Schizosaccharomyces pombe: one gene and its partners. The gene in region 4 interacts genetically with the main gene of each other region. Each region holds a gene or a part of one and is shown on either strand. Other genes may lie near its edges.

Evidence for each region.
Region 1: mutations in cdc23 (region 4) and mcm2 impair growth when combined (synthetic growth defect), as found in Schizosaccharomyces pombe (one study listed by BioGRID).
Region 2: mutations in cdc23 (region 4) and cbh2 impair growth when combined (synthetic growth defect), as found in Schizosaccharomyces pombe (one study listed by BioGRID).
Region 3: mutations in cdc23 (region 4) and cbh1 impair growth when combined (synthetic growth defect), as found in Schizosaccharomyces pombe (one study listed by BioGRID).

The regions. Positions count from the first base shown.
Region 1 is NC_003423.3:1,188,119-1,196,186, forward strand, and holds mcm2 (MCM complex subunit Mcm2), read right to left. Parts: upstream 6,025-8,068; 5' UTR 5,991-6,024; coding exon 5,758-5,990; exon of another isoform or gene 5,539-5,757; coding exon 3,279-5,538; 3' UTR 3,090-3,278; downstream 1-3,089. Other genes in the region: COPII-coated vesicle-associated protein Sfb3, read right to left, coding at 19-2,694; ubiquitin protein ligase E3 component mlo2, read left to right, coding at 6,236-7,225; SPOM_SPBC4.06 (acid phosphatase), read left to right, coding at 7,896-8,068. UniProt on the Schizosaccharomyces pombe protein: Acts as a component of the mcm2-7 complex (mcm complex) which is the putative replicative helicase essential for 'once per cell cycle' DNA replication initiation and elongation in eukaryotic cells.
Region 2 is NC_003423.3:4,179,191-4,186,157, forward strand, and holds cbh2 (CENP-B protein 2), read right to left. Parts: upstream 3,249-6,967; 5' UTR 3,221-3,248; coding exon 1,676-3,220; 3' UTR 1,547-1,675; downstream 1-1,546. Other genes in the region: sorting nexin Snx41, read right to left, coding at 1-892, 1,011-1,298; pho8 (alkaline phosphatase), read right to left, coding at 3,602-4,995, 5,130-5,334; SPOM_SPBC3F6.01C (serine/threonine protein phosphatase), read right to left, coding at 6,283-6,967. UniProt on the Schizosaccharomyces pombe protein: Binds to the central core and core-associated repeat regions of centromeric heterochromatin.
Region 3 is NC_003424.3:4,456,415-4,463,753, forward strand, and holds cbh1 (CENP-B protein 1), read right to left. Parts: upstream 4,465-7,339; 5' UTR 4,356-4,464; coding exon 2,811-4,355; 3' UTR 2,506-2,810; downstream 1-2,505. Other genes in the region: pyridoxal reductase Plr1, read left to right, coding at 5,370-6,371; abc1 (ABC transmembrane transporter Abc1/Ybt1), read right to left, coding at 6,665-7,339. UniProt on the Schizosaccharomyces pombe protein: Binds to centromeric K-type repeat DNA and ARS3002 DNA. The CBH-binding consensus sequence is Py-Pu-A-T-A-T-Py-Pu-T-A.
Region 4 is NC_003423.3:4,075,608-4,083,375, reverse strand, and holds cdc23 (MCM-associated protein Mcm10), read right to left. Parts: upstream 4,320-7,768; 5' UTR 3,938-4,319; coding exon 2,156-3,937; 3' UTR 1,812-2,155; downstream 1-1,811. Other genes in the region: SPOM_SPBC1347.14C (uncharacterized protein), read left to right, coding at 732-1,097; protein sro1, read right to left, coding at 849-1,169; SPOM_SPBC1347.09 (hexaprenyldihydroxybenzoate methyltransferase), read right to left, coding at 5,072-5,926; rnh202 (ribonuclease H2 complex subunit), read left to right, coding at 7,655-7,768. UniProt on the Schizosaccharomyces pombe protein: Required for DNA synthesis. Required for entry into or completion of S phase. Involved in DNA replication and seems to participate in the activation of the pre-replication complex (pre-RC) and in transcription elongation.

The DNA of each region.
Region 1 (8,068 bases), 2.9 Mb from region 4:
AGAAGATTTGAGCTGTTTTTATTTGTAGCCTTGAGTATGCAGAGATTCGTGAATTTTCGTTAAAAAGTCTAGGTATCCAAATCCTTCGCGAGTGTTATCCTCTACTAATGTTGAGAATATTTCACCTTCACTACCATCTAAACCCTGGCGTACGATTTGTGGGTGAAGAGCCATGCTGGGAAATTGCATTCTAAGAGAAGAAAGGAGATTGCGAACTTGTACAGAAAGAACTGTGTCCAATGTCGGAAGCTCAAGCGCTTTCAGAGAATCAATATCCTCAAGACTCTCAACACCTAATAGATCTTGAAGTAAAAGAGGAGAGGTTCTTTGATGAAACCATAAGTAAGACTTTTGGCCAGTGACGATTAAAAAAGCACCACCATCCTCAATGAATTTTCGAGATGCTCGAACGCAAAGTGGCATATTGATAGGTAGACAACCCGTATTTTCAGGGTCAGGAAGACAATCAGTGGGCTGTAATTGATGTAGTGCATAAATGTTTGGATAAAGATTTAGCATCAACTCTTGAATAGGAGCTGCTCTCACCTCTCTGAGCTGTGAAACACGAATATCACTATGAATGCTTCCACTTCGGATAGCAGATGATTTCAAAACTGCAAGAATCAAAATAGGTAATAACACCAAGTTCTTTGGAAGAACCAGTTGGCCTGGAGTCAAACGATTAGCAGCAACCTTCCGATAACTAGATAAGATTTTCACGACACCCTCCACTAACCTAACCGATGTATCTTTTAAAGAACCCGCTGCAATATTTGTCGATGCAATTTTAGCTAAAACTGCAACGATAGGTTCAACAATGGCAAGAGAAATCGTATCGTAGCTTTTAGAAGTGACAGCACAGCAATAGTTAACAACCCTTACTCTTCTCTCACCAGAAGGAGTGGTATATAAAACCGCAGTTTGAAAGTGAGCGTCCAAAGCTCCATTTAATTTTCCATCATAGGAAAACAGAACTGTTACACTTTTATCAGCATCAAGACTGCCAAATTCGATATCTTGTGGAGTTCGTTGCAAGAAGTTGCCTAAATATTTGGAGACACGCAGACCATTTGAGCATCGTGTCTTCAACATCACTCGATAGCCTTGCTCTCTGGTAACACTTCTAAATAAATCTTGTTTAAGTCGAGATCCATCACGATCAGCAACAAAATTACTATAGTGGTAAATCTGCCCACCACTTAAGGTCGCAACACTTCCAACAGTAGCAACATCAACATAAGCAGTAGCAGTAAAGAAAATATCAACACCTATACCAGCAGTAACATATTCATCGGCAAGAGATGTATACCACTTGTCTTGGGTGTTCCAAAGATTCTTTTCATCAGAAGTCCCATATAATCTTTGATCTTCACGATGCCTTAATTTCCCCAATCCCATCGTAGGAAGAGCACTAACAAAAACAAAAGCTTTTCCACCTGTTTCCTTAAGAAGGAGTTTTACTACTTCCAGTGCATTGCCAACGACTGGTTCGGGAATTTTAACATCTTGAAAAATTGCAGGGAAACTGTCCAGCAATCTCTCAATGACAACTTTTGAAGCAATGGGATCAACAAAAAGACCGGAAGAAAATGGAACAAAGGGATTCTCTAAATCAGAAGCAGCTAACATATGGGGTTGCTCTAAATTAGGAGATAAATTGAAGAAATTAACGCTTCGATCAAAGCAGACAATAGCAATTTTGACATTAGGATCAAGAGGTACCGGTCCGTAGAGAATATTCCGAATAGCTTCAGCTGCAACCTTGGGAAGTCCTTTGGAGGAAGCTTCATAGGAAACATCAATCATAAAAACAAAGCGAGCCGGCTTTGGCGGATCCTCCTTTATCCAATAGTCCTTCCCCACTTTAAAATCAATAGTGCCAACATTTAATTCTGGACGAGACTCCACTCCATCATGCTGACTACCGACTAAAGGATTAAAACCATCATCATTAAAACTATTTTCTGAACCGCAAAGATTGCAAGTCCATTTACTACTTGCCATCGTGAATTGGATAAAAGGATTGATGTAGCCACGACATTTTTTGCAACGTGGGGGATTTGAATTTGTGTTATCTACAACGGGTACGGGTGCTTCATCAGGACGTAACTCTGCGAACGGTTGAACAATCATTCCCAAGGGGATTCCGGAAGCATTGCAAACATCATTGGTAGCTGGAATCGCGTAACTGGTAAACTGAACGAATTTGGAAGATGAATTTCCTTGTTCATACCCAACAAAATCTGTAGTGGACATAGGTGGAGAACCCTTTTCCATGGTATTGAATATTTGGTTTTTAAACAATTGCTGATCTTCATAGCGAACTTCAGGAGCCGAAGGTAATGCTGCAGGATCGAGGAGATTTGTATCATTAGAAAAAGATTCTGGAAGTACTGAGGGTGTACTTGGCGTAGGATAATTCATGGAAGGCGGGATAGCAGGCGACATGACAGGAGCCAAAGCTGGTTCAGCATCTGTCAATGACATATCATATGCATGGGCATCTTTATGTCTTCTAGCGCGTCGGGGTTGTGGAGCCATTGCACTACCTTGCTGTATATACATTTGTGCGTTCATTTGAGCAGCTAACTGAGTGTCAATTTCAGGGCCCCCATATGAAGCAATATTGCCAGCAACATTTTGCCTATAAGTCTCAGGATTACCGTAATTTCCAAACTGCCCGGGATAGGCCATTTTGTTTTTGTGTCAAGTTTACTTGGTGGATGTACGAATATAAGTAGGTAAGGGTAGGGCAAAATATATACCAAATAAAAAGACTGATTTGAAAGAGTAACACGATATAAATAATTTTAGATAATAAAGTGTGAAATTTGAGATTCTTCAGGAACATCAGATATGAACTGGATGCATTTCCGATTGTCAAAAGTTGACTTCCCTTTAAATTTGGAAATGGACAATTTAGCTCTATATGTAAAAAACCTCAGCTGTTTCAAAAAATGTCATTTCACATGGGCAGTGGCTCTTTAATGAAACAGCTAATAATATTGATACAGCGGAGAAAGTATCTATACACCTAGTATCTATAGCGAATAGTCAATAATGATATTCAAAACAAGTGTTATTAACCTAAATAATTTAGATTGACATTTTGAAAACTAAGAAAGAATGAATGTAAAGATAGGTATAAAAATGTAAAGCAAATTTTGATTGCAAATTATTAAAGGATAGATATATGCAACAGATGCAGTAACAAAAGGAGGGTCAAAGAACGGGGAAATCAAAATCACTGGACTCCATAAACTGATTGTGTCAAAAAATTAAATAAGATATTTAGCAAATGTTCTTGACAAACTTCGTTTAACACTCATTTTTTGGGCATTCACAAAGGAATCAATAATCACTTGAATGGCTTTGTCTATATGTGAAGGGCGCACAAACTCACTGAGCTGCATTTTTGCAAATGCTTCACTTAAACGGATAGCAGACTCCAGATGACGCACAGTAATAGGATAACTTCCAGTAGCCAGTGACTCGCGTCTCATATCGCTATAAAGTCTCGAAATCTTTTCTTCATCCATTTGCTGTAATCGAGGAAAAACTTTTTCACGAGCGAAATGGATATATTTACGAAGAAGATCTTGGGGAATGGGTTTGGCATCAATACCAGTCTCAGTAGGGACTTTCTTCAAGACATCCATATTCGGATCAAATGCAGGATGAGATCGAATATGACTTGATACAACAAAATTAGCTAGCTGTTCATCAATTTCAGGATTAACCGTGTCTTTGACGACCTGAAGGATGTCAAAACGAGATAAAATAGGTTCGGTCAGCTCAACATTTTGATTAAAAGGAATTGTAGTGTTATAACGTCCACCGATGGGATTAGCGGCAGCAATAATAGTGCACCTCGCCTGCAAGGTAGTCACAATACCCGCCTTAGAAATAGAAATACTTTGTTGTTCCATGGCTTCGTGAATAGAAGTACGATCCTGATCATTCATTTTATCGAACTCGTCAATCAAACAAACACCTTTATCTGCTAAAACCAAAGCACCCCCTTCCAAAGTCCATTCATTCGTAATGGGGTCTTTACGGACGGATGCAGTTAGACCAACAGCACTGGCACCCTGACCTGTGGCGAAGACAGCCCTATGTGCCGTTTTTTCAACATACTTAAGAAATTGAGATTTGGCGGTTCCTGGATCTCCCAACAATAAAACATTGATATCACCTCTAATTTTATGCTTACCGTTAATATTTTTGGGGACACCACCGAATAAAGCAGCAGCAATAGCAGTTTTGATAGAGCGATGTCCATAAATAGAAGGCGCCATCGATGCAATAATTCTGTTGTGAATATCAGGCGACTTTGCTAATGCCCGAATTTCCCTTTCCTCATCATCAGTAAGCCGACTTAAAGAGAAATCATCATCAGTATTACCACTGCCGTCAAGTTGCGATATGTGATTTGCTTCTATAATTGTAGCGAAGACAGGAAACCCGTTTTTGGTATTCAGACTAGCATCGAAGTTATTGCGGTATATGCCAGTAACATCAATCTCTTCGCCTGGTTTGGCAACATCAACCAAGTCCGCTAAAAGAATAACTTCACGGTGTCGAGGCAGTCTACCTGAGGGGACGGTGCCAGGTGATTCTTGTAAAGTGATCCTTTGATAGTTATTATATACAGTCCGTTCAGAGTTGATTACAAACGGACCACGGCTGGAACAGTTGTGACAGAAAGAAATTTTTACTTCAACGCTAGAGTCTTGAAAAAATGGACCCAAAGTAGCACCACATTTGGTACATGTAAACCGAATGTATTTTAATTGTGGAAAAAGCCCAGTGCGCCTAGTTACGACACCAGATACCCGTACAAGGCAATTAAGATGGGATTGTCGTAGATCGCGTAAAGTAAAACAAGTAGGAAGATTAGTGATACGAACATGAATATCAGAGTGTATTCTTTCATAGTCTGGATAATGCAAAAGAGTGGCTTCCAAAGCAACACGATCAAATATGCGAAAAATAGGTGCAGGCGCATTGGCCAAGAAATAAGCCAAAATGGGTTTAGATTCACCAAGATGGGCATAATTAACCATCAACGACTCAGCATTAACCTCACCCAATGTGCGAATACGGTTACCGTATACAGAGGTGCCATTTTCATCTGTATATTCAAGAAGGAAATTTTTGAATTCTCGAGCAATTGTACGCCGAACAGGATCAAGAGTAACCCATTCGGCAATACTATCGGCCTTTACGTCGGCAATTGATTCAAGAGGAAGTTCACCAGATTCGTCCAATGCGCCAACATTAGGTGAATATTCGTCGTAAATTCGATGTCGATGACGAGTGAAGCCTGTGCCAAGATTGGAGTCCAAATCATCATCTTCATCTTGTAAAAATGCAGCAGGTTTTGTTCTACCTGCAGCAGCATCGAGCTCAATATCACGTCGTCTCAACCTGGCATCAACAGCTCTTCGGGCCCCGATATCTAATTCTTCAAGATCGTTATCGTCATCTAGTTCTTCAATGTCATAACGATCTAGCTCCAAATTTTGTTGATAATCACTATACAGTTAGAAAAAAGTACCTTATTTGACGCGAAATGTGAAACTACTCTTTTGAAAATCAAGATTTGTTCTGTCAATATAACCGCAACCTAGGAATCCAATAAATATATTTATTTACAAGAAGGAGAAGAAATAGTATGTAATTTATATATTGATGGCAACACTTAGTATACACAACATTGACAAGACACGTCTCAAGCATAGCTATAAAACTTACCGTTCCATTCCTTCTCCGAACAAATCTTCACCTTCTTCATCCTCTACATCTAAAGCTTCTCCGTCCAGATCCTCAATATCCTCCTCCACGAGAGCTTCTGCAGCTTCATCAGAGAATTCTGGAGGAGGTGAAGAAGGAGGTAAAGAAAGAGGTGTAGCACCGAGAGAAGAATTTTCTGATTCAAAAGGTAAACTTTCAGAATCGCGGCGACCCCTTTTCCGAAAAGAATCCATCTTTGGACTCAAATACTTTAAAGATGTTGTTTCTAACTATTTTAATGCATTGAATAGCTAGAGTATTGCAGGATGAAAGAATAAGAAATGCTACAGTATATTGTTAAATTGTATTGGAAAATGTAGTGATACCTGTAAATGAAATAGAGGAGCGTAATGAGTTAGTGTTTTGAATTATTCAAAAGACATTCTTCGCAATTGTTTACGCCGTCTATTTGCCAACGTTTAGTTGCATTTAATAACTTATGGAGGAAACGGCTCATGAATTAACGGTTAAGCAATATGTTGAACAGCAAAGGGAGCTTGAAAGGGAGGCACGAGAAGTTTTGCCTTACAGCTTTGACACGTGCACTTATTCGATGGGCTATTTGAAGCAACCTTTATACGCTTGTTTGACATGTCAAAAAGCTAGCGGAAGCTTAAATGCTGTTTGCTATAGCTGCAGTATTAGCTGCCATGCTGACCATGATCTTGTGGACCTATTCAATAAACGACATTTTCGATGTGATTGTGGCACCACAAGAACCCACTCCATACCTTGTAATTTACGGAAATCCGTTGATGAATGTGGCTCAGAAAATGATTATAATCATAATTTCGAAGGGCGATTTTGCATATGTGATACGGTGTATAATCCAGAGACAGAGGAAGGAACTATGTTTCAATGCATCCTTTGCGAAGATTGGTTTCACGAAAAGTGTCTGCAGAAAACTAATAAAGGAATTGCAATCCCAGATGCTGAGACTTTTGAATGGTTGGTGTGTTCAGAATGTTCAGAAAAATACCGCGATCATCTTTTAAACCAGAAGCATGAAAGCATAGCTGGTACAGAACGAGCGCCTCTATTTCTTTCAGAAAACTTTAGGGAAAATTTGTGCCCTTGTGAATCTTGCATCAGTTTGCGTAATTTGGAGATGCCAATGTTGGTGGCAGAAGAACCTATTTACGAACCTCCTGAGGATTCTGAGGATGGAATCAGTGAGATGAATGAGGATCCCAGTGAATCTGGAGAAATGATTGAGCAAGTCATATCTAGCACAATGAATGATGTCCTTCGTATTTTGGACAGACTTCCTCGTGTACAAGCTAACGAAAGCGTTTATGCGTATAATCGCTTAAAATCTGAGCTAACGGACTTCCTCACTCCATTTGCTCGTGAAAATAGGGTTGTCACCAAGGAAGATATATCAAATTTTTTCTTGGAGCGATCTCGAATCAGTAAAAATTTACGGTAGCGTTAATAACTTTTTTGAATTCCCTTCTTTTTTGGCGTATAATTTAACGTCAAAACATGTAGGTTATACTTAATCTGGTGATGCTTTTTGTGAAACGCTGTTTATACTGGTGAAACCAGAGATATTTTCTATGTGCTTATGGTTAAACGTAATCATTTCTCTATCAAAAATGGTTTAATTGATTTTCTTAACAGAGATGGTTAATTTGAGAGGCTTACTGGGGCTTGTTGGTATACATGATTTTAATGATGATGACAAATTTGTATGTATATTTGAACAATAATTAATATATTGAACTTCTAGCTTTCTTGTCTCTCCTATTTTAACTGCACTCATTAAAATTTTTAAACCTATCTATAGTTTTGGTGGTTGCGTCTTTTATCTTTTATTTTTGATTGAGAAAGCTAAAGAGAAACCCTGTCTGGGTATTTTTTTTTTGTTATATCTCATAATGACTTTCATTTTAATTTTTTCCTAACAGTTTTTTAAGATTGAATTAACTTTATATTTTATTGTTTTCTTTTCATAAACAAAACTAATTTTCAAATAGTGTCGTTTCGTTAATATTCAGTAATTCATATTTTATATGAGCTTTGCGATGATGTTCAAGCATTGAGACCTTAGTTGACAGCAGCTCTTATCCAGCATCATCAACCACTTCCTAGCCGCCATGTCTCAAATGTCTTCAGCTTCTGTTAAATTCCCGGATTCAGTTCCCGGAGTCGATTATCCAAAACAGCTGCAACTGAAATATTTACAAGTCATATTTCGACATGGTGAACGTGCTCCCGTGAAGGAAAGACTTGGTTCCGCCGGTATCCCTAAGGATTGGAAGCTTTGTAA
Region 2 (6,967 bases), 100 kb from region 4:
CCCTATTGAGTATTACGTCCCCATCTACCTCACCAATAGCCTGTTGTAGACGAGCAGCATGTCTCTCCCTGCGCTCCAAAAGATGAAGAAAGCTCTTTTTTCTTGTGAGAAGCTCTTCGACCATTACCTGTTGAATAAACTTCATCTTTCTAAAGATAAAAATGTGACGCATATTTTTGGCGTCTTTTGAAAGCTCCTGAAGCGGTTCTATTACCGCGATTACAAAGTTGTGCATAAAGTCAATACTAGCAAGACATGTGTGATCATTTGCTTGTCCAACCTTTTCCAGTGCTGTCAAAAGCTTTCCCGACTCGGATAACGAAAGAGCGTTAAACATTGCCCCCAAAGTAGAGTGTGCGAGGCAATACTTAGAGTTTGATAAAACAATTTGATTAAATAAATTGGATTCCTCTTGTGCTACTATTGAATACTGCTGTAGCGTATCTTCAAGCATAAGAAAATTTTTCCCAACATCGTCATAATTGTCACGAGGTACAAGGGTTTTAGAGGGAATAGGCAGCTCCTTGTATAACTCAGCATTCTCTTTAGAAGAAGGATCAGCTGGTGGGGCTTTCAATAAATCCTTTGGGAGACAACTAATAGGAGGACTATGCAATACTTCCTTCCAAGATACATGTCGACTAAGAAATTTTCGAAAAACTTCTGAAAGGCCCAGAATAGGGTGTTGTGCTACCCTTCTCAAAAATAATTGTAATAATCTCTTTCTTTCTTCGAGCATACGAGACATTCGTTGGTTTTTGGTGACGTTTATCAAGTAATCCATGATTTTATGTTTATCAGGTAATGGAGGAACCAAGCAAGTAGGATACAGGCGGCTAAGTTGTACGCGCAAAGAAGCAAATTCTGAATATCGATGGTGTATTTCTGAGTCCTAAAAACCGTTAGTAATCAAACATTTCAATACTTCCAAACAAAAGAGAAGAATGAAGCAAGGATTCTACAATGAATAGTTCGACTTAATACATTATCAACCAATTTCCTTAACTTACTTGAAGTTTGATTATATATACTATGTGTGATCCACTCTCAGCCTTCATAGCTCCAGTAATTACAATTCCGTTTGGATCGAGGGCTGAATCAACAACACTATCTACGTCCTTTTGAAAAAACATGTTTCTACTTTGAAAACTCTCATTCGGTTGGCTAATCGCATTCTCTTTGACAGATGAAGAGCCCTGGTGCTGTGATGGCTCAACTTTTGGCTCTACATTGACAGCAGAAGAGGCGCTTCTGTTGTCAGAGCCAGAGAATGGATTATTATCTTCAAAAAAATCCATTCAATTGTTTCTCACAACGTCCAATTTCAATTGCAATGCTGAATAATGGCGTTTGGAGTTGACAAGTACAGACAGTCATACTGTGTTGATTAATGCATTGCGCTATGCTTATTTTTCGCAAAACAAAAAATTTGTCCCAATTCAATTTCGTAATTTAAACAATTGATTCTTCACTTTATTATTTTATCAATATATCTTATTGAGTTTATAAACGCTTTTAGCGCGAATCTCACATTAATTGAAATAGTACGTCTAGTAGTTAACCTTTAAGAATTCACTGTAATTATTTATCTTTCTTATATTCTATAAAAATTATTTAAAAGTATAGAAAATGTGTACATTTTCGTTAGAAACAAATTTTCCAATTCCCACAACCTTTACACAATCGATCTGCTTTCTAAAACCTTTTGAAACTGAAGTAATGTTCGAGTAAACAAAACATTTCCATCTTCCGATTGCTCTTGAAAGTTTAGTAAAGTATTGATGGCATTTATCGCATCCTTTGTTGATAACAAATACTGTGACTCTTCCTCTTCTTCATCGGTTTCAAACTCTCGTTCATCAAGAAATTGAGCAGCAACTTGGTTAACGATATCGTCATTAGTGTCAGCAGAATTTTCTTCAATAGGGTTAATAAAATTTTCGATTTGGAAAATATCCTTATCACCAAGGTATTTTCCTATCAATTCTTGCAAATTCACCGCGATTCTAATGGTTTCTGGAGAAGGACCGGTCAGTGGTTGCTGATTTTGAAAAAGCCCAGAACGAAGGAAACAATTGTATATTATAGATGGTTCAAAGTCAACGTTCCAAGAACGAATCATCCATCTAACTGCTTTTAGTACATTCATTGTCTTACTGGGGTTCTTTCCCAATCGAATCTCCTCAAGCATGTAATTAAGCCAGTATTTTCTGTAGTATGATTTAAAAGCGTAGACTATCTCTTGGCCACAAGGATGGTAAATTTCTGTAGAATTTACAGGAAGGAAAACAACAGTCGTGTTTACCAACTTTCGCTCGGAATTGCGAATATTTTCCAAAGCGCATTCATGAGCGACAAACTTATCCAGTATAAGTAGAACTTTCCTACCCTTCATCAAATCGTCAAACCAACGAAGCCATTCTTCCATAATGGAAGTGGTCATCCTAGCGGTTCCATTATATCGCCAATGAAAATCCATGGAATCAGGATGAGCATTTGCTTGCCGAAAGGCCCTTGGACTTTTAGCATATCCAATCACCCAAAGAGGGGCCTTTTCAGAACCTGTAGCATTACAACAAATAGTGACGGTGACACGAGCCTTATCTCTCGTAATTCCTTTTACTCGTTCACTCGCAGGAGATTGATTGGGAATAAGTTTCCAGCATAGCCCCGTCTCATCCATATTAAAGATGTCTTTTGGATCAAAAAGACTTATTAATTCCTGTATTTGAACCATGTTTTCCTCATACGTTCCTTGATTTACTGAAGTAGATTCACCCTGTAACTTAAGGCCGTGTTTTAAACAACGCTTTTTGAACTTCTCTAACCAACCGTTACTAAATTCTGGAATCGGAAGCTCAGAGTACTCCGGTATACGTCTCCACAATTCTGCGGCGCTTTTTTTGATGGCGTTTCCAGTAATTGCTCCGTCTTGTTTTTGCAACCTCGTTTGCCAGTCAATAAGGGCGTTTTCTAAGATAGGATATTTTCCTTGGCGGTTTCTTCTTATTTGAGAGTTTTCTGCGTCTAGATTATCTAAAAATTCGTTCTTTGATGATAGAATTGACGAAACGGTAGATTGTGCTAGCTTTTTATGAAAGTGCTCCTCGAACCAACTAATAAGCTCTTGTTGCGAAGGTTTAGTTGCTGACTCAAAATAATGTTTTCTAATTGCTTTTTTTTCAGCTAAAGTCAACGCTTGACGCCTCAATGGAGGCATTCTCTCAAGTTTACGAAAAAATCGTTGTAAGGGAGGTAATCGCGGCTGTCGTGGATGATATGGATGATATCCCGATATGTTTGTGATATTTGATATATTAACGTGTTTGTTATTATAATATTATTATAATATTTTCGTTATGGATATGTTAACTATCTTTATTGCGACAAGTTGTATGTATAATTGTAATATTCGTTTGCTCTTAAATCGCAATTGTTGGATATCTCAACCACAGTGGAAATTAAATAAAGTAAAAGATAAGAAGTAAAATAGGTTTAACTTAAAAAGAATTTGAATGCCATAATTAAGCGATTTAAATAAGCTGAGCATATATGAGAGTATTCTAAATTATATATTTATGGCAATCTTGATTAAAAGGCTTTAAAACAAATCAGCACCGAAACCTACAAGACGATCGGAAAATGAAGTTTCCACTAAACTAGGTCGATCTGGGGCACCATGTATGGGAGCATCTTTGAGCTTTTCAGTTACATCGCTTAGTGAAACATTTAAGTATATCTCCATAAACTGTCCAATTTCAATGTTCTCCATATTTCCTCGAAGATGTTCAGTGACCTCTCCTACTCCATAAACGTTTACATCGACAGCAGTATGGCCGTGAGTGGTCCAGCCAATTTGTGCTTCTACACTAACAATATCACTAAGCACGTTTATAAGATTAAATATATTATGCCGGGCCACGTATATGTCATGAATCTGCTTTGGATTAGGGTCAGGAATGCCAATTGCGGGTAAAACAAACTGTTCAATATAAGGAAGCAACGTATTTTGGTTATGGTTCACGATAGCTGAAGCGAGATATTCAATAGAATGGAGAGCAAGAGATAGGACTTGCGGCTTCCATAAATACTCTGGATATTTTTTGGAGACCTGGCGACCAACAGTCAAACCACCAGTTTCATGATCCGATGTAGAGATTAAAGATCCTCCATTCTTTTCTACAAATGCACTTGCTATTTCAAAGGCCCTGTTGTATTCCATAACTTCGTAAACATGAGCGATAGGGTCATTGTTGTGAGAGGCCATGTCAATTCTACTCCCTTCTATGAGCAAAAAAAATCCTTTAGATGTATCTTCATTAGTGGCGTTGAGCAAAACATCCAAAGCCGTCTCTACCATTTCAGAAAGCTTAGGTTGCACTTCAGGCTGATAATCAATATCATAACTGAGATGATAATCAGAAAACAAACCAAGCAAAGGCAATTGAGCGTTTGATAGCTCATCAAAGTCAGTTCTATTAAGCAAAATTTGGAAACCTTCTTTTTTCCTAGCATATTTCAAAAGATCCAAGTTATCGGATCTACATGATCGATAAGTAGATTTAGGTAAGAATGAACAAAGTCCACCACCGAACAATAAGTCAACACTCCTTCCCAAAGGTCCCATCCCGACTTGGTACTCAGCAATTAAATCTTGCATGAATCGATTCGCGGCATGAGCAGAGAAAGAGGCAGGTGTAGCGTCGGTAACTCTGCTTGTGACAACAATTCCGGTTAAGTAACCGGCTTCTTTAGCAGCCTCTAAGATAGTTCCACAAGGTTTTTCATTATCCAAAACACCAACAGCTCCGTTGTAGGTTTTATTAGCACAAGAAAATGCGGTTGCTCCGGCTGCACTATCCGTAATCAAACTCGAACTGGAACGTGTCCGTGAACTGCCAATTAAATGCTCATCCAAGGGAAGCCTATAACCCTCTTTATCGTTTAGAGTCTCTACAAACGATCTAGTCATAGACAAAGAGCCAGGTCCCATTCCTTTAAAAAAAGTCAGTCACCGAGAAATATTGTAAAAAAAAGGAAGATTCCGTCCCAGTGCTCTAAATATAAAAAAAATCATTTTCCTTCAAAAGAGCAACGGATTTATGAGAGAGCTTACTCCAATCACTTACCGTCAGAAACCATCATAATAACAAATTTTGGTTTCTCATTGGTCCCTTTGGACTTATGAGACGAGAAAAAATAAAAAAATATAACGGTTGATAAAACAAGGATTAACAGAATTCCATGTTTTATCCAAGTTTTCCAATTTCTACGAGAAGGGCTCTCCGGACCCTCGCCATGCACTGGCAGAAGAGGATCGCGCTCAGATGCCATTGAAAACTATTTAAACGGTAAAAATTGAATATCTCTAAAAGAAGGGATGTCAAAGGGTAAAGATCGTTTCAACGCGTATGACTTGTTGATGGATAGTACAAATTTTTGGTGTTGAAACAGCTCAACCATACATTGCATGACGTCATGGTTTAAAGTATTAACTCTCCATGTCGATCCTCGCTATCTTAAATCTGATATCGGATAGTATATGCACAAGTTAATCGAGAATGGCAATTCACCAAGTCCACAAGAAATAGCGTGATGGTAAAACTGTCTATATATACATGTAATATCTACTGTCAAATGCAAGTAGCTGTTGAAAATATTAGAATCAGCTGCTGACATGAAAATCCCGTATATCCAAAATTCGATGCAATTACCTTTCGACTATTATTGAGATCTTGTCATTAACGAAAAAAAATATATATAAGCAAATGAGTTGTGAACAGAAAATAAACAAACAAGTAAAGGACTGAACTGTTACTTGAAAATAAAGTACAGTGTTTAAAGTAGAAGACACATTGATGACTTATGATGGCAGTGAATTTTGAGGGTAATAATAATAAGAAGACAGCATTTTAAATCAGTGCGATATTAAAGGATCAATTGTTTTATTTACTTCATTGTTCATATGAACTTAAACATTATTTATATTTTTATTGTACAAAGAACGTGAAATGGAACTTTTGGAATAAAGAGTAGCTAATCAGGAATTAACATTTGGGAATTCCTAACCATCCAGGTATCGAAACCAATCCTTAAGCTAAAGATTAAACATACAAATAGCATTATTTTTTTGAACGACGGTAACTTCATAAAAACCCAAACAACCAAGTCTTCAAAAAATAATTTAACTGGATCATATAGCTGTGGAACAAATTTTTTCAAAAACCAGAAAATTAAAAAAATGTGGGTGCAAACACTGAGAACAGTGCTTGCAGTCTCCCATCACATACCACTTAGCAGTCCATTGGCATATGCCATTGGGCGAATGTTAGGATGGGGAACGGCTTCAAATTGGTGGAAATCCAACTCCATGTCTTCCTTAACTTTAATTACGGCACCAAGATTTCCGGTACTATCACAATAATTAGGAGCACTAAACACAGTAATACAATAACCATCGTGCTCAACTTCGTAGCCTTGATCTCTGACTTCATGAGAACGGATCACTGCTTTAAGACCATTAGCCTCGCAAAAACGTTTTGAAACATCAGGGCCGAATTGTAAACCCACCCCACGTTTCGATGGTCCTCGTCCTGGAGCAGGTTGTGGATCGGTCCAAAGCATTTCCATCATTAACCCAGATTGTCCAGGTTGCTTTTTACTAAATCTATCAATGTTTCGTAGTTGGTCTAATGTTACGTTATCATCAGAAAATAGGCCACCATGTACAACAAGATAAGAATCGGAAATTAGGGAACCAAGAGGTAGCAGAGAAAAAGTTTCCGAGAAAATATTAAATGTCCTCTCATTATACTTACTACGACATTCACCTTCGAATCCGTAGACTTTGTTCATATCGTCAGTTTCGTGATTACCGCGATTGATGAAAACAGCGTCCGGATATAATAACTTATATGCATAAAGAGTAAAAGCGACTTCAGTGGACCACGAACCACGATCGACAAAG
Region 3 (7,339 bases), on a different chromosome or scaffold from region 4:
CTGGGCCCTTTGAATTTTCCCTACCAAAACATCTCTTATCATGGTACGTTACGTGCGGCATTTAACGTGGATAAATGAATGGAAAGCATAAACGTAGATAAGCCATTACGTTGAATAACCAAGCATAAACGTTGATACACAAACAAAAGTGGGATTTCATACATATGCATAACAAAAGAAACTTTAATCTTCTGATAGCGTTTGTTTAGTTTGGTTTGTTGACCCGCACGTCCACTACGGCCGCGAGGAGTTGGGCTCTTTTCGTACGACCTCAAAATAAGGTTTATTACGTCAATGTGCCGTAATTACTTTAATGCATGCGAAGCGAATCATGGCCAAGCGATGAGAGTAAAAAAATGGGAAACAGAGTTTATCGAGCGGTTGGTTAAACCATTATTCTGTATTTAGGAATTGGTAATAGTAGCAAACGCTTGTGTAAACAGATATACCCGAGACACTAAAATTCGCCACCTACGCTGACATCTTAGACATTAGCTACGCCAGTTTCCGCCCAGTACTTTGAAAGTCGCAAAGTGGGGGATTTCGATCCTTATGGGGGTAGGGTGAGCGTTAAGACTAGGAAAGGGTGGGATGGAGGGGACTGGTGAAGACTTGGACTGGGGTTCACGTGTGTGGGAGATTTTGGTCTATGTGGGGGATTGACTGGATTGGTAGTTGTAAAACAAAAACACAACGGTTGTAATGTAGTAGTAGTAGTAGCAGTATAATGTGTTTCAAAGTTGGTCTTGATTGATGAATGTGAGTCGATTTTATGCCAACGTGTCTTTTTTTTTTGTTTTCACTTAACGAACCAGAGTTCCATTTGTTACTAAAGAAAAATAAAATATAAAAAAATAAAATAAAATTCTATTTCTTGAGTGTTTGTCCCTACTACTCTTTATTACATTTCTTTGATATTCCCATCGCTTGCATCCTAATTAGCAACCTCTTTAGCATCATAAATATAATACTACTACTTTCTATGAGCCAGTATTTTGGTCGACCTATTGCTGCTACTGCAAAAGTATCCTTTCTGCGTCTTTTTAAAATTTTCAACATGCGAAGCTTTCTCTTGACACTGTTGTGTTAAGGTTCGTTAAGCGGTTCGCACTTTGACCACCTTCGGACATTTGTCTTCGTTTATAGTCCATGTGATTAGTGCATAACCTGCTATGGTATAAAGCATGCAACAAAGGAAAATGAAAGAAAGTATTGAATATGCGAAATGCGACGCTGATTAAGGAAGACTAGAATGAATTAAAAAATTTTTCTTGATATTGCTTTAGAAAATCTTTTTCGTTTCCATTTGTTGTTCTTTTTTTTGCATACATTTTTTTTTTCGGTGGCATTCATTTTATTCTTTTCGGTTTGTTTACCTAATCAAATTTTACTATTTGGAAGTGCTTCATCCACATTTTCAAGAGCTAATAAAATTTTTTTTTTTGCTTTCTTATTTCCCTTTTTTTATTTTTATTTTATTTCAATTATTAACTCTTCTCTTTTTTCCCTCTATCTGTTTCTTCTAACTAATCATCTTTGCTCTACATTCAAATCACTCAGTAATTTGTTCGCAAACATCGCAACTAAATTTGGAAATGAAATTCAAACTATTTTACTCATGGTCGCAGTGCCAATTTCCATTGTGCAACTTGTCAAGATAGCGAAGATCACTGAAATTTGTAAATTCAAACACATAAAACGCAAAACCGTGAGAACTATACACTCTTCCAATGTTTTAATTTTTTTGTTTCTCCAATTTACTTTTTTAATAACCCATATTATTACTCATCACATTATTGTATTGTTGTTTTAAGCATGCCATTTTTTCGTACTGGAGCGCGTTAAAGATCTGATAAGCAAAACTTTCAAGATTTAAGAAGATATGTATATATACTTTAAGATCACCATAGCTAGTGTGGATCATTCTAGTGTGTATTTTAAAAATGGCATATTCCATTTTGTTTACTCTACTTTCAAATTTTTTTTTTTTTAAAGTGGGTCATCACTACAGAAATTATTCAATGAAATATATCTTCTGTTTTGTAGCTCAATGAAAACTCATAATTATATAAACATATTTCCTTAAATTCCACACTCCAGTTGCCTCATATCCATAATGTGATTTTTTTATGTCTTGTTTTGGTAAAATCTCTGATTGTGTGTGGCTTTTTTACCTAGCTATTAAAATTAATGGTTCGGTTTTCAGATTCGGACTTAAAGTCATATCAAAACCCCTACCCATTTTTCTAGCATTTCCAATAGTGGTTTACCAGCGCAACAACTCAAACAGCATCTCACTCACAAAACCATATGATCATTCATCATCTATAGCATTTAAATTAAATTAAATTAAATTAAATTATTAAAGCATCATTGCTTAATGCTTTATTTTTCATTTGCGCGCTAACTGATTTTTATTTATTAATTGTTCTCACTGCTTCTCTATATCTCTGTCTTGCATACAACAAAGGAAAACACAATGTGACACAGTTTATACAAAAAAAATCATTAATAATTCATAATATCATTAGAATCCTATAAAATGTTTTGTTGTTCAGGTATATGTACACACACTAAGTGAATTTAAAAGAATATTAAACGAGAAGGGTTCAAAGCCGCCCGCCATAGTTAACCAAAAGTAAGCAGAAACATTAATCTCAATTAAAAAAAGTAATTTTGTACGAGTGTCGACTTTTGTTTCACTATATTTTTTTTTTGGAAATTTGTTTGCTTTGGAGATTGAAATCATCCAACGTGAAGCACTTATTGGGTTTAGTAAGACTCGCTCTCAATTTATTTCCGTAAGTGGATCACGCTATTAAATTATTAGGGGCAATCACTCTTTGTCTGCGGTACAAATCTAAAACAAACGAGGGATCCCCATTTTCGTGTTGCTCAAAATATTTTATTAAGACTTCAAAGGCCATGGCAGCCTCCACGTTTGATATTTGAGGCTCCACGTCTTCTTCCTCATCCGACTCAAAGCGTCTCTCCTCCAGAAACTCTGCAGCAACGGTATCCACAGCATCTTGATGTAATTTGGTTTCATCTTCTTCAGAAGGTCTAATGTATTCATTAATTTGCTTAACAGCTTCGCTGCCCTTGCTTGAAATCAGATTACCAATTTCCATAATGGCCTTTTGATACGACTCCATTCCTTGTCCTTCGGCCTCGGAATGTGGACCCAATAATCCTGATCGGAGAAAAGATGCTTGAATAGTCTTTTCACTCACCCCAAAATTCCAAGACCAAAGCATCCACCGAATGGCTTTTAAAACATTAACGGCTTTTAGAGGATCTCTCAATATGTTGATTTGATTAAGGGAGTATTGCAACCAGTATCTTCGATAATTCGCTTTAAATGTATCGACTATTCCTTGTTCAAACGGAGACTTAATGTCCAATGTTTTTTCTGGAATTCGAAATACAGAGGTGTTCTGAAAACCACCTTTAAACCGTCGAACACTTTCAACACCGAACTGATATGTGTCATTGCTCTCTAACATCAATAGGACCTTGCGTCCTTGCATACGTGTGTCAAACCACCGAAGCCATTCCTCCATAATAATTGGTGAAATTGAAGCTCGGCCATTCCACTTCCATTCGAAGTTCATACTTTTAGGGAAAATACCGCACTGCTCAAAAGATCTTGGGTTTTGTGCATAACCCACGATCCATAAAGGTAGTCGTTCTGACCCATCGGCATTGCAACACATAATTAAAGACACTTTGGCTTTTCCACGCTTCATTCCCTGGATTTCCTGATAATCCAAGTTTTGTTTATTAGGAGTGAGTTTCCAAAAAAGGCTTGTCCCTCCAACGCAAAATATATCTTTTTGGGCATAAGGCCGTATAAACTCTTGAATATGAACTGGGTATTCTCTAAACACCTCAAATTTGATGGATTCCAATGCCTGATTTACCGCACTTTGCTGGATATAATGTCTTCTTCTAAATTTATCCAACCAACCATTGCTAAAGTCTGGTAATGGGAGAGAAGCATACGCCGGAATTTTCGACCAAAATCGAGTAGCAGCTTGTTTGATCATATCCCCTGATATAGGAAGGCCTTCAACTTCTCTTTGTTGCAACCATTCGTACACGGCATTGTCAAGCAAAGGAAACTTTGGAGCTCGAATTTTTTTAATATCACCGAGTCTTACACTTCCATCATCTAAATAACTGTATTTGGGTGAAAGAATTTCGGAAATCGTTGACTGCGATAAATCTTTATTGTACGTTTTTCGAAACCATTCTGTCACTTCCTTTTGAGGAATTCTATGGGCAGATTGGTTATAATAATCTCGAATTGCCTTTTTCTCTGCTAAAGAGACGGCCTGGCGTATAGGAGGCATTGATTTTCCTTAATACTTACTATGCCGATACTTTTCCAGACCGATATAAGAGTATAGCCTTGGATTTATACAATTATTTTATGTTGTAGTAGATATCGGAAATAACGGTGAAAAGACGAATTCTATCCTTGTAGGGTTTAAGAAGGTGAGTACTACTAGTGCATCCTTCTGCCTTGCACCCTATATAATCTAAGTGCAATATACCGAACCTATTGTTAATCTGTAATAACAATGCCATTGGAGATGCTCAAATTATGACGTTCAGGTTAATATAGCAAATTTGCGTATCTTAACGATTTTGTCAGTAAGAAAAAGAGAATTCAAGAGCAAAAAATAGGAGAAAGAACGACATGAACGCTGTTAGAAACCGTTTAAAATCAATTCTCATATATGTTTTAAATGAGAGTCTAATTGAATACTTCCTCAAATTTCATTTCTGTAGCACACCTCTTCTCACTATTAAACAAAAATGTGTAAATAAATAAATGTTCCTTGGTATTGTAACAAAAATGGCGATTCTGAAGTTCATGAGCATTTTCCCTTCTCTTTCATTTAATAAATTCTCGAATTTTCAAATAACATAATATGTAAGTTCTCAGTTTTGGTGTAATTACTTTTAATTCCAATATTTCCATTCATAGTTCAATTCATAATACTTACTATCAAGTCTATTTCAATAATGTATGTTACACGTGTGATCCAATGTTTAAAAATGTAGAAGTAAATTTATAAAAGCAAAGCCAAAAATAAAGAACAAAGCTGTTTAAGCTAGTTACGGTACGAAGAGTAGGTGTTACTTACGTTTGATTCATTATTATTAACAGTAGAACTAATTAGTAAGCATCGTCTCAAAGAACCATTAGGAAATTCTTACAGCATACGGTACCGTTATCATATAAATAGCAAGCTTTGCATACCTAGCAGCTTAGTTTTTCCAATATTATTCGCTTAAAATTGAGAATACACATTTGATATTTACAGAGTTAAGCATTTTTAAATTAAAGTTGTGAAAAGATGCCTATCGTTAGCGGATTTAAAGTCGGACCTATTGGCTTTGGTCTTATGGGTTTAACCTGGAAGCCCAAGCAAACTCCAGATGAAGAAGCCTTTGAAGTAATGAATTATGCCTTATCCCAAGGCTCCAATTATTGGGATGCGGGTGAATTTTATGGTGTCGACCCTCCCACCTCTAATTTAGATTTATTAGCTAGATATTTTGAAAAATATCCCGAAAACGCTAATAAGGTGTTTTTATCTGTCAAAGGTGGTTTGGATTTTAAAACACTAGTTCCTGATGGAAATCCGGACTTCGTGTCAAAGAGTGTTGAAAATGTGATAGCTCATTTACGTGGGACCAAAAAGCTAGATCTCTTCCAATGTGCTCGAGTCGACCCAAATGTTCCCATTGAGACAACCATGAAGACATTGAAGGGGTTTGTGGACTCTGGAAAGATTTCATGTGTCGGCCTTAGCGAAGTTTCTGCTGAAACTATCAAACGTGCTCACGCTGTGGTCCCCATTGCTGCAGTCGAAGTCGAATACTCCTTGTTTTCTCGTGATATCGAGACAAACGGTATTATGGATATTTGTAGGAAGTTATCTATCCCTATTATTGCATACTCTCCTTTCTGTCGTGGCCTTTTGACTGGTCGCATTAAGACTGTCGAAGACCTTAAAGAATTTGCTAAATCTTTCCCATTCTTAGAATATTTGGACAGATTTAGCCCTGATGTTTTTGCTAAAAATCTTCCATTCCTCCAAGCTGTCGAGCAACTTGCTAAAAAGTTTGGTATGACTATGCCCGAGTTTTCACTTCTTTTTATAATGGCGTCTGGAAACGGTCTGGTCATTCCTATTCCTGGCTCCACATCTGTTTCTCGTACAAAGAGCAATCTCAATGCACTGAATAAATCTTTGTCTCCTGAACAATTTAAAGAGGCCAAAGAGGTCTTGAGTAAATACCCAATCTACGGGTTACGTTATAATGAACAGCTTGCGGGCACTCTTTCCGTTTAAAGTGCTGAAGTTAGTCGATACTCTTTCGCATTTCAGTTTTGAAATGCATATTAAATATAAACTTATTATATGCTAGCCTTACTTAGGTATTCAGTAATGACAATTTATTTACAGCGAAAATGTTAAATCATTTGTTTATAGAGTTTGGCTTGTTATTACCGATTTCTGCTCGATCTCGTTTAAATGTTTCTAGTATGCTCTAAAAAAAAAAGAAAAAAAGAAAATGATGGGTGCTCACGATCAGTTTAAAGCTGCTCTACAAATGGAATGTATTGAAAGTCAGCAAAAAATATTCAAAGACTAATATGACTTTCCTTGCACATTTTCCAAAACGCCCGTCGTTGAGTATATAGTGACTTGGGGGATCCGAATTCCACCGTTTTACCAGAATCCAATACTAAGACTTTATCATAATCTACAATTGTTTTAATTCGATGGGCAATGCACAAAACGGTAGCATGTTTAAATGCTGCACGAAGCATTTGCTGAATTCTTCGATCAGTAGTATCATCTACCGACGCTGTGCTCTCATCCAAAATAACAATACGAGATTTTCGGACTAACGCCCGTGCAAGGGCTAGAATTTGCCTTTGGCCGGAAGAAAAATTGACACCTCCTGAATCAACCGGTGTGTCAAGATGTATCGCAAAAGCGTCAAGAGAATTTTTGTTTGAAGCTTGCACTAAAGATTCACAGGAAGCAGTCTTAAGTATTTCATTTAGTTCTCCGTCTCCATACTCCTCAAAAGGATCAAGATTGCTTCGGACCGTACCGGATATTAGCACAGGATCCTGTGGAATTAAACTAATACGTTGACGAAGGACTTCCAAATCTAGAGAGTTGATATCAATGCCATCTACTTCAACCGCACCTGACATGATCATCGTAAAGCGAAGTAAAGTTAAACCCATTGTACTTTTACCACTTCCTGTTCGCCCAACAATAGCAATTTTCTCTTTGGGAAGTAT
Region 4 (7,768 bases):
CAAAATTCACTGCATTTTTAACGTGTTTTCGAAATAACTAATCAAACTATCAAAAAGATAACGTATCAACACTAAACCGCACTACTTTATAAATTGCACATCGGGTTGCTTCTTAGCTAGACGGAAAGACAATGCTGACCTTGTCTTCATAATTGTTTACAATCTTCCACCATTCATCTACTCATTAATCAGTAGTAATGTATTAAAATAAACAATTTCTATTTTTTAATTATACAAACAATTTCCTATTCTGAATCTAAATGTAACAGTTGTATCGCATTTGGCATTTCTTTTTTGTAATCCAGCAACCGAAAATTCAATCAAATCAATGTGACCATGGCGAATTGGATATAAAATAACAAAGATTAAGGTGGAAACTTCAACTTTATCAGCGACTATCATTATAGTCAACAAGTAGACAAACTAATAATATAAAGACTAACAAGTCTTGGGGGTATAAACTAATAATACATATGTCTTGCCTCATTTAAAAATGGTAAAAGCAAGGAACCGTTCACGGCTTATATCGATAAACATTCTAAAGCAGGGGAACCAATGTGTTGAAACTGGTAATAAAAAGAGGGATGGGGGTGGTAAAAGAATTCCAATAATCGAAATTCCTTAGAAAAATAAAAATAAAATCCATGTCTTAACAATTACATCAAGAAGAGTAAAAAAAAAAGAAAAGCGAAAATAACGAATTAAAAAAGATTGCATTGTTAGATTGTTTAATGCTTTTATCGAATAAGATAAAACATTCAATTTTCCAATTTTTTGTTTTCCCTTTTTATTATTTTCTTCTGATCATAACGGAAATCGGGTTTTCTTCTTGTATACAATATTCGGGTTTAAGCGCTTACTTCCCAATCAAATGCACCCTTTCTTTGCTCAGCTCCCCAATTAGGAGAGTTCAAGTCATCTCTGACAGTTTGAACGTAAAAGGAAAGAGGTTGCTCTTGGTCGTTACAGCTCATAGCCGACTCAGAGTTAATGCCGATATCGGTGGTTTGATCAGCAACATTGGATGCGGTAAAAGACCAACCATTCTTAGTACCGTCAACACGGGAAGCAACACTAGTAGAGAAGGAAAATCTTGAAGCCGTTGCCTTTAAAGAGGTAGCGGCTAAAAGAGACTTGGAGATGACACCTTGTTTAAGAATAGAAAACATAGCGATGAATCAAAAATGTTTATTGATGAAATTAAAAAGAAAAGAAAATAACAGTGATTAAATAGAAATGTGTAGAATAGAAGTATCACCGTTCGCAGATTTAATTATCGAGACGTCAGCGAAGAAAGAAAAAAAAAATTTTCTTAACTAATTAAACCAACGAATAAAAAATTTTTTTTCTGAAGATGACCGTGTTGATCAAACCAATATTCTTTATTGTTCACTAAAAAGAATATCAAAAGAAGTATTTAGTAGTAGCTAAAATGTATTAACTTTTTACTTTAGAATGTCTCGCAATTGACTTTGATTAGACACTGTTTAGGTGGGACGCAACAATTGTTGGATGGCGAGGTCTCTTAGATGGAAGCCCGCATTTATATAGTTTTAGACTATTTATTTGCCTTTTCCTTTGTGACGAATTCAGATAGCTTTCCTTACTGATAAGAATGCGATACCCGTTCCATACGGCGCAACGTTAAAATAGGCGACTAGCAGTGTAAAGTCCGATACCTAGACGAAAGCAATCGTAAGCTAAAGGTGTCGACAGTACCTCAGTTTGGCTGGCTATCTTAGTATTGCTTACAAGCCCATCATACCATATGAAAGTAAGCTTACGTTCGTTTGATTAATAAACAATGTGATGTCAAAAGCTGTAACGGCCGTTCTTGTATGAGAGAGAAGCTAGCAGAACAAAAAAGGGAGACTTCGCACATTGAATTCAAACAGTTGACATCACAAATGAAAAGAGCGACTGTGTTTAATAAGCGTTTCAAATATTCCATTGGGATTTACTAAGGATTAGGATTTAGAAGAAAGGTTTAACAAAGGGTTGAAAGTTTCATGATAGCAAAGTGTGTCGCATGTAAACAAAAGAACATTCATTTGAAATCATAGCTATATCCATTAGCTAGCTAATTAATTAGTAAGTTGGTTAGTAATTTAAATAATTAATTTTCATCATAATGTATAGAAAAACAACGTAAAATTCAGGGAACTATTTCTAAGTCATCCTCATCATCACTCTCAGTAAATTCATATCGGAATTTGATATTTTTTAGGGAGCCGGATCGTGAAAGTCCAGTCGCTGTGGAGTGCGTTGTAGATGCATCTGCGGAATGCGTTGGATCGAAACCTATTTTTCGTAGACTTTGGGGGGAAAAAATCCTCGGCGAAGAGGTAAACACTACCGCTGGGGAAACTTTGGTGGATGTAGTATCTTGTGGAACGGGTGTCCCTGATGCCGCATCGTTAGTGCCGAGAATAGCAGAGTTAGAAAAAGATGGTAGAGAGGATTTAGGGTTCATTATAGATGCATTAAAAGAGGCCAGAACGGATGGTTTTTTCGTCGATGAATCAATTTCGCTATCTTTAGAAAGAGCAGTGGGATTACCCTTGTCATGTAAATTTTTAACGCCGGAACCTTGTAAATTTAGATACTGATGGCCGAGTGTTCGCATCGACATTCCCGTAGAGAGGTTATTCGAGTTAGAGCTAGACGAAGAGGAAGCGCAACATCGCTTCGATAATCGCACCAAAATTTCACGCTCGCGTTCAGCCTGCGCTCGTTGTTTTTTGTATCGTTCCTTGCGCTCCCTCTCGGTCTGAACGGCGTCTTCTGCATCATACAAACCAGCTACTGCGTTAGGAATTGCGGAATACTTTTCCCCAGCAAAGTATCCTTGGAACCCTTGTCCACGAAATCGCTTTTCACGTCGTGCGCGAGGCTCGTGCATAGTCGCCATACTTGAAGCAAACTCCGTTCGCGTAGACATGGACCGCTGGACAGCGAGGTCAACGTGATATTCACATACATCTCCGGCACGCTTGTCGAGCCAATGTTTACATAGTTCACCGCTTTTTCTTCGGCTGGAACAATAGCCAAGGTGTTTGGAGCGACCAATCTCTAAAAGTACATCGTACTCAGAATCCAGCTTCAGAGAAAAGCGTCCAATGTCTGGGTTCTTTGGCTTTAGTACTTCAGGATTGAGAAGCGCAATGACAGTACCACTCTGGATCTTCCAGTATCGTTCAAACGCCTTTCCAAACAGGAAGCACTCCAGTTGCCATTTCAAGTCAGTCAGTGTTAGCATACAATATTTATTCCCATTCACAGTTTCTCTGGTTCCACTATTACTGGCAACAATGCCCATAACTACATAGTTGTCAACTTCTGGCGCTTCAAATTTAGGAGCTCTTACTAGTTTGAGTAGTTGGTGAATGAGATAAACTTGATTTCCCCCTATATTTTCCTTAGCAACCTCATCACTTATGTATCGAATAACAATGGCTTGTCTTGAATAAGGATCGATTTCATCACATTTCATAGGAAATTTCTCCTCTTCACTTTTTCCATCTTCAAGTATGTTTCGCTTCCTCTGGAACGATTGCTTTCTATTTTTTTTCATCGTTTTCAATTTATCGCTCCTCTTCCTTTCTTGGTTCCTTGCCTCTGCAAGTCGTTCGTGAAATGGTTTTGGTAGAGGCCCTCGAGGCCCTTTTCCTAATGAAACATCTTTCCCCGTCTTTCCTTTATCGATTCCTAATATCAATCGCTTGGGACTTTTTAGTTTACTAGGCGAGCTGACTGTAAGGACACGAACTTGCTGAGGAGGAGATCTTGGAACCTGAATAACTTCAGCGTTCTCCGAAGAAGCCTCCTTTTGAGCACTTCGTAGACGCTTCTTTTCTTGAATTTCATTTAGCTGCCTCTGTAACCTCTTTTCTTCCAGGTCCAAGTCATTTTCTTCTGCAATGAAGGGATCATGCATACTTGCATTAATTAAACTTGGTTTCCTCTTAATCTTAAACCTCCAAAGTCAATGATAAAAAAAACCCCCCGCCTGTTAGATATAGTCAATTTCTCACGAATACTGAAACTTTTCAACCCAACCCTAGAAAACTAGCTTTTCAGGAAATTAAAAAAACTCTGATCAATAAAATTTTCTTCTCTATTGTATGAGTAGCCAAAACAAATAACAGGATAAATTTAATACTGCCACATTTGTATTTTGAAATGCGAAGATATTGTTGAAAAGTTTAGTGCCAAAAACAGGAAATTCTTTAGTCCTGGAAAAGGAAGCAAGTAATAATTATAAATCTTTTTAACAAGATATTCTTATTTTCCAATACTTAAAAATCGCGGTTAAACATATAGGAATGTAAACAGTTAGCGGACATCTAAAGGACATGTGTTTAAGGATGCAAAATGTAGTGCATAAACAAGCATAATGTGCAAAATTAAATCCTCTCTATACTACACATGCTATAGGTAAACAACATAACTGCAGTTTGAATAATAAAAGGTTAAAATAGATGCGCTAATTTAATGAGTATACACGTTCGATATCACGAATTCATTTACATAATATAAACTTACGATATTTGTCTATATAGAATCATAAAAGATGTGTCTACAGTATTCAAATGCATATAGTAACTTATTTAAAAGGGGTATTTTGAACAGTTAAATTTTAAACGTCGAACTTTTTTTTACATTTGGTGGAAGAGATTGCCTAGTTTCCGTTGTCTATTCAAATTTGCGCTTAATATTAAAATCTTTGTGACAACAGTTGGCCAGTTCTTTTGAAACCAACTTATGAAGAAAAATCATATAACGAAATTTCCAGTATTGTATAAAAAAAGCCTGTAATCCCACATAATATTTGGTTGATCATATTCGAAATTGTCGTTTCAATGAAGTTTAGTCCTTTCTGAATGCTCAGTATGTAGTTTCGTTTAAATGAATCACCGGGACTCACAGTGTTATAAGTTATCATAAGCTATCAATTTAATGGACATCAATACTTGTTTAAATGAAGCAATTCCTGGTCTGATTGCTTCACCTTCTAAAATCGGGTACCCAGACCATTCATTTGTTTATCCCTAATTAAAAATTAAGGGGATCATGTTTTGATACCACTAATAACCATCAGCTGTAATTTTACCTCATACAGCTTCTCTCCGTTAGCTAAATCTAAGGTTTTAGCGTCTTTTGACTGGGTTGACCGTTGATACTTAGCTTCATCGACCCACACATTTGCCTGAGCTTTACCAATGACTTCAGCGTTTGACAAAGATGCATTTTTGAATAAATTCAAAATTGATTGCGGAGTAAATCCACCATGATGAGCTACGCCAAGCTTAGCTATTTCATCAGGATGCAAATTACCATGAAAAGTATCACCCCCCTTTATTAAATCTGCGACAAATAATCGACCATTAGGTTTTAAAAGTTTAGAAAGCTTATTAGTCACTTCCTGTAGGTCCTTGATATGATGATATGCCATGGAGCATACAACAGCATCAAATTCAGTAGAAAATGGTTCATCGCCGTTGCCATCCAAATCATCCAAACTTAAAACATATGCACAGGCTCTTTCTTTGGGAATGTTCATCTTTCTAAATTTTTCATTATAAACGTCCACCATGTCTTGGGAAACGTCTATGCCAACAATTTGTTTACAGTAAGGGAACAGGTGTTGGCTAATTAAACCAGTTCCACAAGCAAAATCCAATATACTCATACCACTTTTCTTCCAAAAATTATTTACATTTGTCAAATCATCATCCGAAGTTAAAAGCAGCCTATCTTGATCATATTTTGGGAGATCATGTCTTAGGCTGGTTTCGGAATTGTCTTCAAACTGTAAAATTTTTGAAGAAATCACTTTGGAAATCGCCAAGGTACTTGGATTGTCATATTTCGATGCTTCTATTTTGTTGTAATGAGACACGTTGGCATAAACTATATCCGACATGATATTTTAGTTCCTTTTATATTGTTAATGAACGGTGAAGTCTTGCTAATAGGAATATTAAAAAAAAAGATAATCAAGGACTATCTTTAAATGGTTATGACTGAAAATTTATGTCACAAGGTACCACGATTATGAAAGATTAGCACAATTTCCCTTTTTATGATTAATATAACTAAAACTTATTAAGCGAGAATTTGTTTAGAACTATTATTGGATGTTAGACAGAAAAGAGCCTGTTAATATAGAAACTTCAGTAGCTTCTTATTTTAACTAAATTATTGTATTCGACAGATTAGGATTCCTGTGACCGTCCTTTTGCTTTTGTATAACGCTCATTTTTGTATTACCCTAATACCCGAATTTTGTAAATAAGCTTGGACTTTTTATATACTACTGGAAACCGCTGCGCATAATTTAAGAAGCTAAATTGGGTTTCGTTCCAACACACTATTTGCATTGAATTGTAAAGTATTGTTTACATGAATCGTTTTGAGTAAATCCCTAGGTAGGGTGTTAAATGAAGCAATTAAGCATGATTCAAGATATTCGTTAAAAAGTACGAATCATTTGGCCTAAATTGTTAGTCTAGCTGACTTGCTGCATGGCTCTCAAAGTGGCCCGCAAGAAAGGCTCCATAAATTGCTCAGATCACTGTAAGTATTTACTGTTAAGTAAAAATACAAAAAGGAGCTTCGCTAATGAAACAGTAATTTGGAAGTTGATCTATTCATGTCACAAAAAATGCGGTAGCAATGTAATAATGTTATAACCCATTTTGAGACTTACACCGAAAGAATGTACACGAGGAAGATTCATTCATCAATGGTTTAAATAACACATCAACCACCTTTGAGGTACTTGCAAGCAAGGAAGGTCATATTCGTTCGCTTTTAGTTACTTCACTAATTTTCAACTAATGTACTTCACGTTTTTCATTACTTTACAATCAACGTAGTAGAACATGTAGACTTAGTCTTGTTCACCATTATACACTCTTTATGTATAACGTCCGCAACCAGTTTTTTTTCATTAAAAAAAAAAAAATTCGATGTGATAAACAGTTAGTATAGTCAATCTAGCAATTATTAAGATGAGAAAATACTCAATGTCTATTTTATTAGTTTATTAAGGATATCTATACTTTGGCTTTTCAATTTAACCAATGCTGTTTTTTTTTGGTACTTGAAGCCGCAAGCTTTCTATTCAATTCACTACCGTGGTTTACCATTGAATTTCTCATAACTAAGATTGCCGCTCTTGACTTCAACATCGACTGTTATATTTCTTTTTTAAGAATATGCATTTCATTTTTTTGTACTGCTTTCTTATAAAGATGGAGTTCTTGACTAACAACGTGTCTTGAACAGACAACAAAAAGTCGGTACGAATCTCCTCTTACTTCAGCCATCTTTTATATCAACTTCATGATTATCTTAAGAGGAACAATCAATTTTATATGCTTAATTTCTTTCGTATATGTACAACTAGAGTCGTCACTGTTTTAAATTTTGATATACCCAAATCGTTGTCAATACTTTTACAAAATACTCATCTTTAGCTGAAAGTTACACAACGAAATCTTTCTAATTAAAAAATTGTGTTTGCAAGTACTCAGAGTTGTTTTCAATTGATATCTTTGCATTTTTTACTTTTGTTGCAAATAGTGGTACGAAGTTTCAGACGTGATTGCCTCACAAATTTTGGGGTTTCATAATTTAAACTTAAAAAATGCAGGGAAAGATATTCATACTACCCAAAGATTCTACAAATCAACAATTTGTTGAACTCTCACATCCCTTGACCGGGAGACCACTTCGTTATTTATTAACAAACGATCACCTT